Neodiprion lecontei: one gene and its partner. The protein of the gene in region 1 interacts with the protein of each later gene in a biochemical or structural test. Links are inferred from orthologs where the notes say so. Each region holds a gene or a part of one and is shown on either strand. Other genes may lie near its edges.

Region 1 (5,472 bases):
ATATCCTTGCAAACTTTTTTCATTTTAACAAGGACTGAATATCAAGACGCGAATAGCACGCAAAGTTTCGGCGGTTAAACTGGAGGTAAATTTTCAAGATGGTGACGTCTCGACGATTTACCGATTGGCGATTGTTTATACATACAGCGACGCCACCACTCACTTTCGCAGAATCACGTCAACGAAAAATTGACGATTAGTATGAAAATGGTTCTGGATCTATGTTCAGTACAATACATTTATGGCATGACATAAATAAATATGAATATATTCTACTTTTGTCCAATCAACTCGTACAATGTATTTGTAAATATTTACTCACAACTGTCATTTTAGCGGTGGAAAATTTCCATACTGGTTACTTATATCGCCATGCACTCGATATCATGTAGTGACAATGTAATTATGGCATGATTGTCGCGTACATTTAACCTGACCCGAAGCCTGATCGCTGCTTACGTTGCACTGTTCGGATATTTTGAATTTAAACTTAGACATGATAAATTAATAAATTCAAGTTTCAGAAACATTTATGAGAATATTCAACGTAGATGATTTTGAGATGAATTTATTGGCTAGTAAATACAGATGTGTACATTACCTATAAGAAACGAACGTGAACACTTCATGACATCAATTTAATTCATCTGATTATATATTGCAACTGTTGGAAATTGATTTAGTATAATATTTCTTAGCATTACTTTTACGAATTGCAGTTTGAACAGCGTTTTATTTAAAACCTTGATTATTATTATTATTATTGTAGTAAGGCTATGTACAAGGTGACAAAAGGTACAGTACATAACATACACTCTTTACATTTACGTACGCGGTAAAATTATTGTAAAAGTTCGATTCAGCAGCTCTTTGTATGTATTGAATGTTTTATTTAACTTTTTTTCTATTGAGAATAATAACGTACGTGATAATTTTGGGTTTGTGTTTTCTTTCGCGCTCATTATCACCATAAGTGTGTCTAAGTCGTTTTTGCTCTGATAGCCGCACGCTTTCCAGTCACAGCCTGAAAGCAAAAAACAAATGTCAATACCAACTGTTGTATATTGTCCAGTAGATGAAACGAAAAATTTGTTCATAAATTACCTGGAAACCAGATTTGATGCTAGCGACGGAGCACCTAGACCCACACGATTCACACTGAAGGAAGAATAGCCGAGTATCTTTCTGCAATATGGTGTCAGGGGAGCGACACGTGTGACACGTAACATACTCCTTGATGTATCTCCTTAGTACATTCTCTATCTGCTTTTGCTGGAAGCGACCCTTGATAATAAGCTGACTATTGCCATCAACAGATCCACTGGTTCCCAGTTCAGCCAGTAGGAAGTCCAGTAAGTGCTTCGGCTGTCTGTGCAGTGTTTTACAAATCTGGGAAAGATAATAAAGGGTCCGTTTAATTTTTCAGACAAAAGGGTATTCTGCAGACTATGGCAAATTGTAATTCATTGGTGAGGGCTTCAGGTTTGAATATTTTGCGAGAATATACTTACAATCTATGAAAAAATGAAAGAAGGAAAAAAAAAAAGTCACTTTGTTTCAAATTTTCGCAAGTAGGGTATCGACATATTGATTATTCCCATGCATTTAGTTTTAAAACTATTACATCAAAAAGTTAAACAATTCAATACCTCAGTAAAGTTTGCAAAAGAAGTTTTCTTGGTGCCGATTCGTACGACTTGCGGGGGCCTCATGACAAACTTTTGCTTCTTTCCAGCCACCATGTCAGGATTTTTCTCTCTCATTATTTCAAATACTCTGGCTAGTAGCTCATCATATGTGTAATCTCTGTCTGAACCAAGCCACGACGTGGTGTCCTCGACTGGTACAATGGAAAAGAGTCATCAAAATGTGACTAAAGTGGTAACAAATTTCTTAATAGCATTACCATGAGAAACAAAATATAAATTTAATACTTCCCTATTTTGGTTTACTACTTTGTAGCAAGTACAAACGTGACACGAAAAGGTAAATATTAAACTAAACAGCGAAAGTAGAATTGTGACACAAACGGCTAAGAAAGCATAAAAACAAGCATTTTAGTGCAAAAACAAATACTAGTCGTTATCTAGTCGACCAACGTGTCTTACCAGTTTCTACACTTCGCTCAGATTCAGTGAAGCATGTTAACAGATAGAATACACGATAAGCAACTCGTAGCAAAATAGTTTTTTCAGAGTTTAGTCTCAATACTTACCATTTTCCCTATCTTCTGCTTCCTTCTTTTCCTCTTCAGCTACTAGGTTATCGAGAATGTTCTTCCTTTTCTTCTTCTTTTTGCCCGAGAACTCCATATCCAGGTCAAAGTTACTTTCCGCAGGCCCATCTTCACCGATTGGCTCTGCGCCATCCTTAAGATAATAGGGTAAGTATTCAAAATGTCAAATCACTTCACCAAATGAATCTGCGATCCTGAAGTCACTCAAGAAATCGCAGCTATGTCTTTCGAGATGTATTTCTTGTGTTATGTTTTTATATCTTTAAATCATGTTCCATAAAAACAGCGAACACAAGAATTCAACAATTATAGACTTTCATTTCATCGCTATAATAAAATTCATATAACTTTCAAATCATTCGGCACGTAACACCTACTTCCTTCTTGCTTTCTGGGAGAGCCATATCGAGTTCATCTAGATTGAATGCCTTCTTCTTTTTTTTCTTTTTTTTACCAAAATTTTCTAGATCAAGGCCTTCGTCGTCATCTATCGCTCCCAATTCTGGCTCTTGATTTTCCTTATCACCGATGCCCTCGGTGGCTTCACCACCGCTGCCGCCCTCAGCCATTGCAGCATCGAGATCGAAAGTAGTCTTCTTCTTTTTTTTCTTCTTTATTTTCATAGTAGGATCAAAGATCTGAAAAATTTAAGTTTCATTAACTATCAGTCCCATCTATATGGTGAAAATCACAGGGGAAACGAATCTATAAAATCATACTGTTATTGAGAAAAATATAAGTACCGTCGACGATGAATAAATATAAGCATATTTTTAGCTTGAGAAGCATTGATTATCCTATGAATTATTATCGGTATAAAGTATTACGCAGGAAAAAAATGAATGGATGATACATCATGCAATACGCAAGAAGGGTGTTTATAGTTCTATTTTATCGCTTTATCCAAATTATCACGGATATCAAGAATGATTGTTGTAACTCAGACCACAACCACACAGATCACGTGGACGCATGGAAATCTGCCTGAAAATCCGTGATACGTTGATACAGGATTGAGGTTGTGTTTGCGATGTATTATTAAAAAATTTCTGATTCGAGTCATGTAAACTGGACGTAAAGCCAAGCAATATTCACCACATTCGGGGGAATAAATGGCTACAGAAGCGTGTAATATATGAAAAATGCGTAAATGGGAACACGTTGTGCCATTCAATCTGTGCACTGTTAGTGAACCTTATCCAGTCACAAATATTGGTTCATTAAATACATACCGAATCCTCTTCGGTCATGTTGATAAGAAACAGAGAACTTTTCTTTTTGTACGTAATTTGGTTATTTCGAGAATATATTTAACTGGTTTGTCGGAAGAATGAAAAATACTTTCTGACGTCTATTGCATCAGAATATTCTCTCGGTGCCACATGCAGGTACAAGAGATCAATCGGCGAATCAAAGCACGCAAAATAGCAATACGGTGGGAAGCGAAAGCACCCGATTGGTAGAAACCTCCATCAAAATCCGGTGTCTGACCGACAGCTGCTGCCACGTGCTGAGGGCGCGACAAGTCCGTGAAGCTCTGACGGCTCATCAGAGTGAAGTTCAGGCACGCCTACGTCGTTTCCAGTTAAATTTGACGAGTGAAAACGAGATGCGAGTACTCCTTGCCGGCTAGTTTGAGTACCTACTTTAGTACGCGGCAAAATGCATCTATATTGAGACGAATGATGCTTCGAAAAATGCGTCTCGATTCCTTACGTGAAAATATTATATTTCTCATTTTCAGTACGCGTTGAGAATAATATGGTCGAATTAGAAGGAATTCAGCTTTGCAGTGCATAACTGTATGTCCTCTGGTCGCATCCTGTTCGTAATTAGGGTCAGAAGAATGTGTTATCTCATACATTCAGCTTAAGCGCTAGTCAGTACAGTATGCAGTATCAATAATTTTATTATATTGACAACATCACGACTTTCGATTCCCTGTGATTGTTTTTTTTTTGTTTATTTTCGTCGTTTGAAACGTAATTCCAAACTATATCTTATCCGTATCCGAATAAAATTACTAGTATATCCATACTCCGATTTATAACTACAAATTATATACTGTAATTAAACTTGATAAACTTGAACCACACGATGTTCTAGTCATGTTATACCCAGTTCCCGGAAGTGTAATGTCCGTTAATTTTGAGCGTCTGAGTCGTAGAAAAATCATTGCACGGTCGTGAATATTAGCTCATTCGGTAAATTTGTGCAGACGAATTGATTTCGTCAAATATCGCTGCTGGTTATACGCAGTCACGACTGCAGGAGTTACCTGGGCAATGAGTTTCTTGTTATCGAATTGAACCGACGGCGCCCGCCAGCCGCAGTTGCGCCGTTCGCAAGTCGCTTGCGCAAAGGCGAATAAGTACTTACCAATCGCCAACAGGCGATTTCAATCGCGTTCGAACCGTGAGTTTCGAACTCAAAGCTAAAATCAGAGGAGAAAACAGTTGGTGTTGTTGCCCGCTGCCTTCCGCTGGTTCCTGCGGAGTTAAAGTAGTGCACGCAACCGTACGTCGCGCTACACTATTTGACTATTCCATTTCTATGCACGAATGCGTACATCGTACGACATACGTGTAGTGCCGTATTAGAGTGGGTATTGGATGTACCGAAACTATACGGATATTGCTGCTCGATATGTTTGTCGGGAGCTTAGTTGCACAGCGGCTGAATATTTCTTCGACAATGTGACAGTTGATGACAGTAGGCGGATATATGATACAACGGTCTCATTTTTAACCGCATTTAGTTCGTGCAATATATTTCCTCATTAGAATATAAGGTAAAATATCGCCTATTTGAAAAAAATAAAAAAAAGAAACGTTCCTCGATGCGGAGTGTACGTACATGCATGTTATGGAAAGTTTATTTGAATGCTGTTTGTATGAAAATAAGAAAACTGAAAAAACTGGGCGCTGAATTTTATGATAAAATGTAACCCGATTGTAAAATAATAACACCGAAAAAGTGACTTCTGCTCGCTGCAAACGTTATTATAACGCTAGTTACGTCTTAAATAGAGAGTGTGAAAGGTTCGTGGTGTGACACATCAAATATTACAATTGTTTACAGTGGTGAAATTAACGCGAGAGAGTTTTCCATTATTGGTTATGTTTTGCCTTGCTACATGGGGTATAACAATCGCATGTACTTGCAGTAACTCGCACTTCGATTGATTTTCTAATTTCCCAGTCTTCGATATACTTGTGAATGATTTCAAGGTTAGC
Region 2 (4,922 bases), on another chromosome or scaffold:
AGTCATTTTGTTTTCACCGATACATAGGTTTAGCGATGTAGTTCATAATGATCGTGATCACAAAGTGTAGTAAAATTTATTCAACTGTAGTTTTTTGTATGGTTTTACAGTCTTTGGTTGCGATCGTTTTTTGGTGGTTGTTCTTATTCTTCTCCGATTTTTTTCCATTTCTTCAAAGATTTCTGCATCATCTCCCGATAGGTAAATGTCAACGTCTTACAGCGATTCGTGTTTTGGATCATGGTTCAGTTGTTGATTGTTTTGCGTATTCATCAGGTTCTCCATTTAGCGATTATCTCATACGTCATGAAAAAAAAACCTGCGAGAACATCCAAAGTCAATCGCCTTTTGCATCTAAGATAAAAACAGTCACTCTTCATCCATAATTAAAACAACCATCTTTCATTCATAATTAAAATATTCATTTTTCATCGATAATAAATAATCAGTGGGTTATATGGACTCAAAAATGTCGAACAAACTGTGAATATACACGAGTACAAATTGATTGGGAAAAACAATTCACCATGATTGACATGTGAAAAAAAGTCATTTGCAATGTTTCGAAGAATGTAAAATCGATCTTGCAAGTATTCTCCGTGGAGTAGGCCTATTGGGGATACCACGTAAAAAAAAAAAAAACGCGCCGGCTGCTCTACCGCTTGCTGTGGTGTAGAAACGAGCATAAGTGTGCTTATTTTCACTGGTCAAATACTTACATATTGTAGTTTGTCAAATGGCAACTTTATTGTTGTGTAAATTTAACTCAGTCTTCGATAATATGTAACACATGTGGAATCGTGATACCTTCGGATTTCTCTAGTGCAATAGAGTGAATTCCACGTGAATACATTAATTTTTTTATGAATTTCGTTTCTTAATTCAAGTCAACAAGGTGCACATAGCTTTGGCAATTAAGACTTTGGCAATTCCAACATCTTTTTCCCCCGCTTAACCTTTCGCAGTCAACCCACTAAAATCGTTGAATTGTAAAATTTCTTTCTTGAATTTTTTGTATTACAAAAATTCGTAAATTCAATTCCAAACGCGCCTTTTGTGAGACGTGTCACGCACAGACGTGTCACGCATCAAACAACTATCAACTACTGTTCGGGTCGAATCATATTCATCCGCAATCAACTTTGATCAAGTTGTTACAATGAAACACGATATTTACATACCAAACGAGCAAGTCTCCCGTGACAAACGGTAAATAACAAAACAACGAAGCTCGTTCAAAACCGGGTACTAAAAATGACAAAAAGAAGAAAGAAAATACTGTATTGTAGAAAATTATTTCAAAATTTTTATGACAAATTTGTATACCTGCTTGTTTTCTAGATTACTCAACTGACTCTACTGTCAACTACTTTTCAAAAAAATTTATATAACAACGTCCCAGCTTATTTTCGTGTTTCAATTGTGAGTCTACCTTATAATTTGTCCGGAATTCACCGCGTTAGGATGTCACAGTTAACCGGAAAATTAAGTCTTTCATTCGTGAGACACGGCGATTGTAAACAGTTGAGACCTATGCTCGATTTAAATAGCCTAGAATTTAATTTTTCTCTATCATATTAAACATGATGAGAAAAGAGCCTTCCACTATGCATATAAATACAATTATTATCTGATGTCCCCGGTAGAAAGCAACTACCGAATCAGATTTTACACGAAATAAGAATGTGCGGTTGGGGCGCTGGTTGGGGTTACTGACACTTTTTACCCTATAGGTTGAGAGCACAGAAATCAGTGGGTAATTTGGTTGAGAGCTGCTGTTTGCCACTTTCATCAGCCTGTCTGTAGTAAATTCCCGATCCCACATGGATTATAAGCATATTTGAATAGAGTTTACAGTTTCGAGTAAATTTCTTCGGCCTTAGTTAATCCTACTTCTATTTTCATAGGCTCATAGAATCTAGGTAATCGCAGATGGATATTTGTATAGATAACGCATATTTCGTACGGCTAACCTAAAAGATAACCTTTAAATTTGGCTAACCGCTTCCATATTACGTTTCTCATCAATTTCATACGGAATGTTTGCATGATATTAATACAACCTCACCTAACCCGCCTCCAAAGTTCGTGTTGTATATGACAACCTGCCGCAGAATGTCTAGCTATCAACTTTTTTTGAAAGAATTATTGTTCCAAAACAGATTGTATTTTTTCCTTTTGCAAACTATCAGATCAACCCTCTACATTCTGTGATAAAAGAATTATATCTTTTCTTTCAGCCAATATGGTGTTATCTTGCCGGTTTTACAAGGAGAAATATCCTGAAGTTGAAGATGTGGTTATGGTCAATGTACGTAGCATAGCTGAAATGGGAGCCTATGTTCATTTATTGGAGTATAATAATATCGAAGGCATGATTCTTCTTTCTGAATTGTCAAGGCGACGTATTCGTTCCATCAACAAACTCATCAGAGTCGGAAAAACGGAACCTGTTGTTGTCATCAGAGTTGACAAAGATAAAGGTATGTATAATTTATGGCTGATTGTAATTTAAGCCAATCCATACTCATAATGCCAGTTCGGCGTTTTTCAGTGATTACTATGTTCAGAAAACCTTATAGAATCTGAGAATTGTACACAATGCAGACAAAAATTCACATCAAATTTCCTTACAATTTCACCAAATTTTAGGGTACACCTTAAACAATGCATTCAACTAGGAAATTCAATGTGCTTACCCATTCTGATTCTTTATGTAATCAATTTTAATATTGAATGTTTTTTCAAGGGTATATTGACTTGAGTAAACGACGAGTATCTGCTGAAGATGTAGAAAAATGTACAGAACGATTTGCCAAAGCTAAGGCAGTGAATTCGATTTTACGTCATGTTGCTGAGCTATTGCATTATGATAGCGACGAACAGCTGGAGGAATTGTACCAGAAGACAGCTTGGTACTTTGAAGAAAAATATAAAAAACAGAAGGCATCAGCCTATGATTTCTTTAAACAATCAGTATTGTGAGTCATCTTATTGATTGCAATTAGCAATTATTATTTTTTGAGTTTGAGGAAATTGCTTTAAAAAATTAAATACTAAAGGGAAGTCTGTGAATAAAAAATTTGTATTTCAGGGACCCTTCCATCTTGGCCGAGTGTGGCTTGGATGATCACACTAAAGAAGTATTGTTGAACAATATCAAGCGGAAACTCACATCTCAAGCCGTCAAGATTCGTGCTGATGTTGAAGTTGCTTGCTACGGTTACGAAGGCATAGATGCTGTCAAAACTGCATTAAAAGCTGGCTTGGCTCTGACGACAGAAGAATTGCCGATCAAAATCAATTTAATAGCCCCTCCGTTGTATGGTACATATCTGATTAATATTGATTATCATACTCATTAATCAGTAACGTATTAAATTACTTCACACTTTCAGTGTAATAAAATGTAATAAGATTTTGACTGATTTCAAGTTTGCAAATCAGAAAAACTTCTTTATAAAATTGTATTTCTTCAGGTGAAGAATACAAGTGAATTACAGAAATTTTTTTGGATTCTCAATCGATACTCTGAATAATCGAAGCATATAATGCATGTTTACAAGAATTAGTCAATGTGATTTGATGGTTAGATACTGAATTATTGCAAATCCAGATATCATTAAATATTTTTCATATATTATTAGGTGATTCAATATTCATTTCCTTATATTCCAGTCATGACAACCTCTACACCTGAGAAACAAGACGGTTTAAAGGCATTGAATGATGCCATAGAGGTGATTAAGGAAAAAATTATATCCCTTGGAGGTGTATTCGACATTCAAATGGCGGTGAGTTTTCAGTTATAAGCTTGTTGGAGATAGTGCTTTTAAAGATATTAATCTTTAAATACATCTTGCCACGGTTGTATCGATATATGACAAAGTCAAAAAAAATGTGTCTCTGTTGACTAGAACAATGAATTACCAAAAGATTCAAAGTTGCCACAAGGAGATCTTGACAATTGTTGTACTACATTTTCAGCCGAAAGTTGTGACAGCAACTGACGAAGCTGAGTTGGCAAGACAAATGGAGCGTGCCGAACTCGAAAATGCAGAGGTGGCAGGTGACGATGATGAAGAAGAAGAAGCTGAGGGTATGGGTGACTTCAGTGGGGGCGAAGAAGGTGAAGATGCGGGAAAGGGCGGTAACGATTCTCAGGAGGATGATTAAACAATATGCGACACAAACGAATTTGTATTCATCCTTCTCTATCTGACCGCATCTGGCGAGTAACTTTATCAAGTGCAGAATCACTTTCATTGACTTTATGATACAAGATTTTACAAATAAAGTGAAAAATATTATAAGAATATAATGAATTTAATTTATCTAATATCTCCATTCTTCACTCCTTCGATACTTCTAATTTTCAGCGTCCCACGTCTAAGTTTAGAGCTGCTTAAAAAATACGGTATAGGCACAAGGGGTAATAAGACTCATCCAGGTATTTTAATTTTTAATTTTTTATTCAAACATTTTATTGAAATTTCATTTCAATGGTTTATTCGTCAGCAATGGTAACTTCAACTTCTACTCCAGGTTCAATCGAGATGCTGGTTATTTGCTTCACAATTTCAGACGGAGAGTAAAGGTCAATTACCCTCTTATGAATTCGCATCTGGAAGCGATCCCAAGTCTTTGAACCTTCACCACAAGGTGTTTTACGTGTCGTAATCCTAAGAATCTTGGTTGGCATACGGACAGGTCCTTTCACCTTCAGCTTCTGTTTCTGTTTCTTAGCTCCAGTGATAAGTTCTGTACACACTGTGAATTTTGAAGGAACATTAATTTAAAATCTGATACTAATTTTTAAACTTCATACAAAAGTTTGCATCTAAATTGATAATATTTTTATTTTCAGTTGATCATTTGTCTTCACCATATTTCAAGTTCTGGGTAATTAAAAAGGATTAGAC

The links.
Region 2: the proteins of eukaryotic translation initiation factor 2 subunit 2 (region 1) and eukaryotic translation initiation factor 2 subunit 1 form a complex in vitro, tested with the Homo sapiens proteins (2 studies listed by BioGRID and IntAct). The link is inferred for Neodiprion lecontei from reciprocal best matches to the Homo sapiens genes EIF2S2 and EIF2S1.

The regions. Positions count from the first base shown.
Region 1 is NC_060261.1:38,616,382-38,621,853, reverse strand, and holds eukaryotic translation initiation factor 2 subunit 2, read right to left. Parts: upstream 3,642-5,472; 5' UTR 3,487-3,641; coding exon 3,469-3,486; intron 2,875-3,468; coding exon 2,614-2,874; intron 2,370-2,613; coding exon 2,216-2,369; intron 2,142-2,215; coding exon 2,109-2,141; intron 1,841-2,108; coding exon 1,650-1,840; intron 1,390-1,649; coding exon 1,105-1,389; intron 1,025-1,104; coding exon 980-1,024; 3' UTR 553-979; downstream 1-552.
Region 2 is NC_060262.1:24,018,578-24,023,499, reverse strand, and holds eukaryotic translation initiation factor 2 subunit 1, read left to right. Parts: upstream 1-1,762; 5' UTR 1,763-1,922; intron 1,923-2,240; 5' UTR 2,241-2,245; coding exon 2,246-2,483; intron 2,484-2,749; coding exon 2,750-2,981; intron 2,982-3,094; coding exon 3,095-3,327; intron 3,328-3,678; coding exon 3,679-3,794; intron 3,795-3,987; coding exon 3,988-4,176; 3' UTR 4,177-4,316; downstream 4,317-4,922. Other genes in the region: 40S ribosomal protein S20, read right to left, coding at 4,508-4,770. UniProt on the Homo sapiens protein: Member of the eIF2 complex that functions in the early steps of protein synthesis by forming a ternary complex with GTP and initiator tRNA. This complex binds to a 40S ribosomal subunit, followed by mRNA binding to form a 43S pre-initiation complex (43S PIC).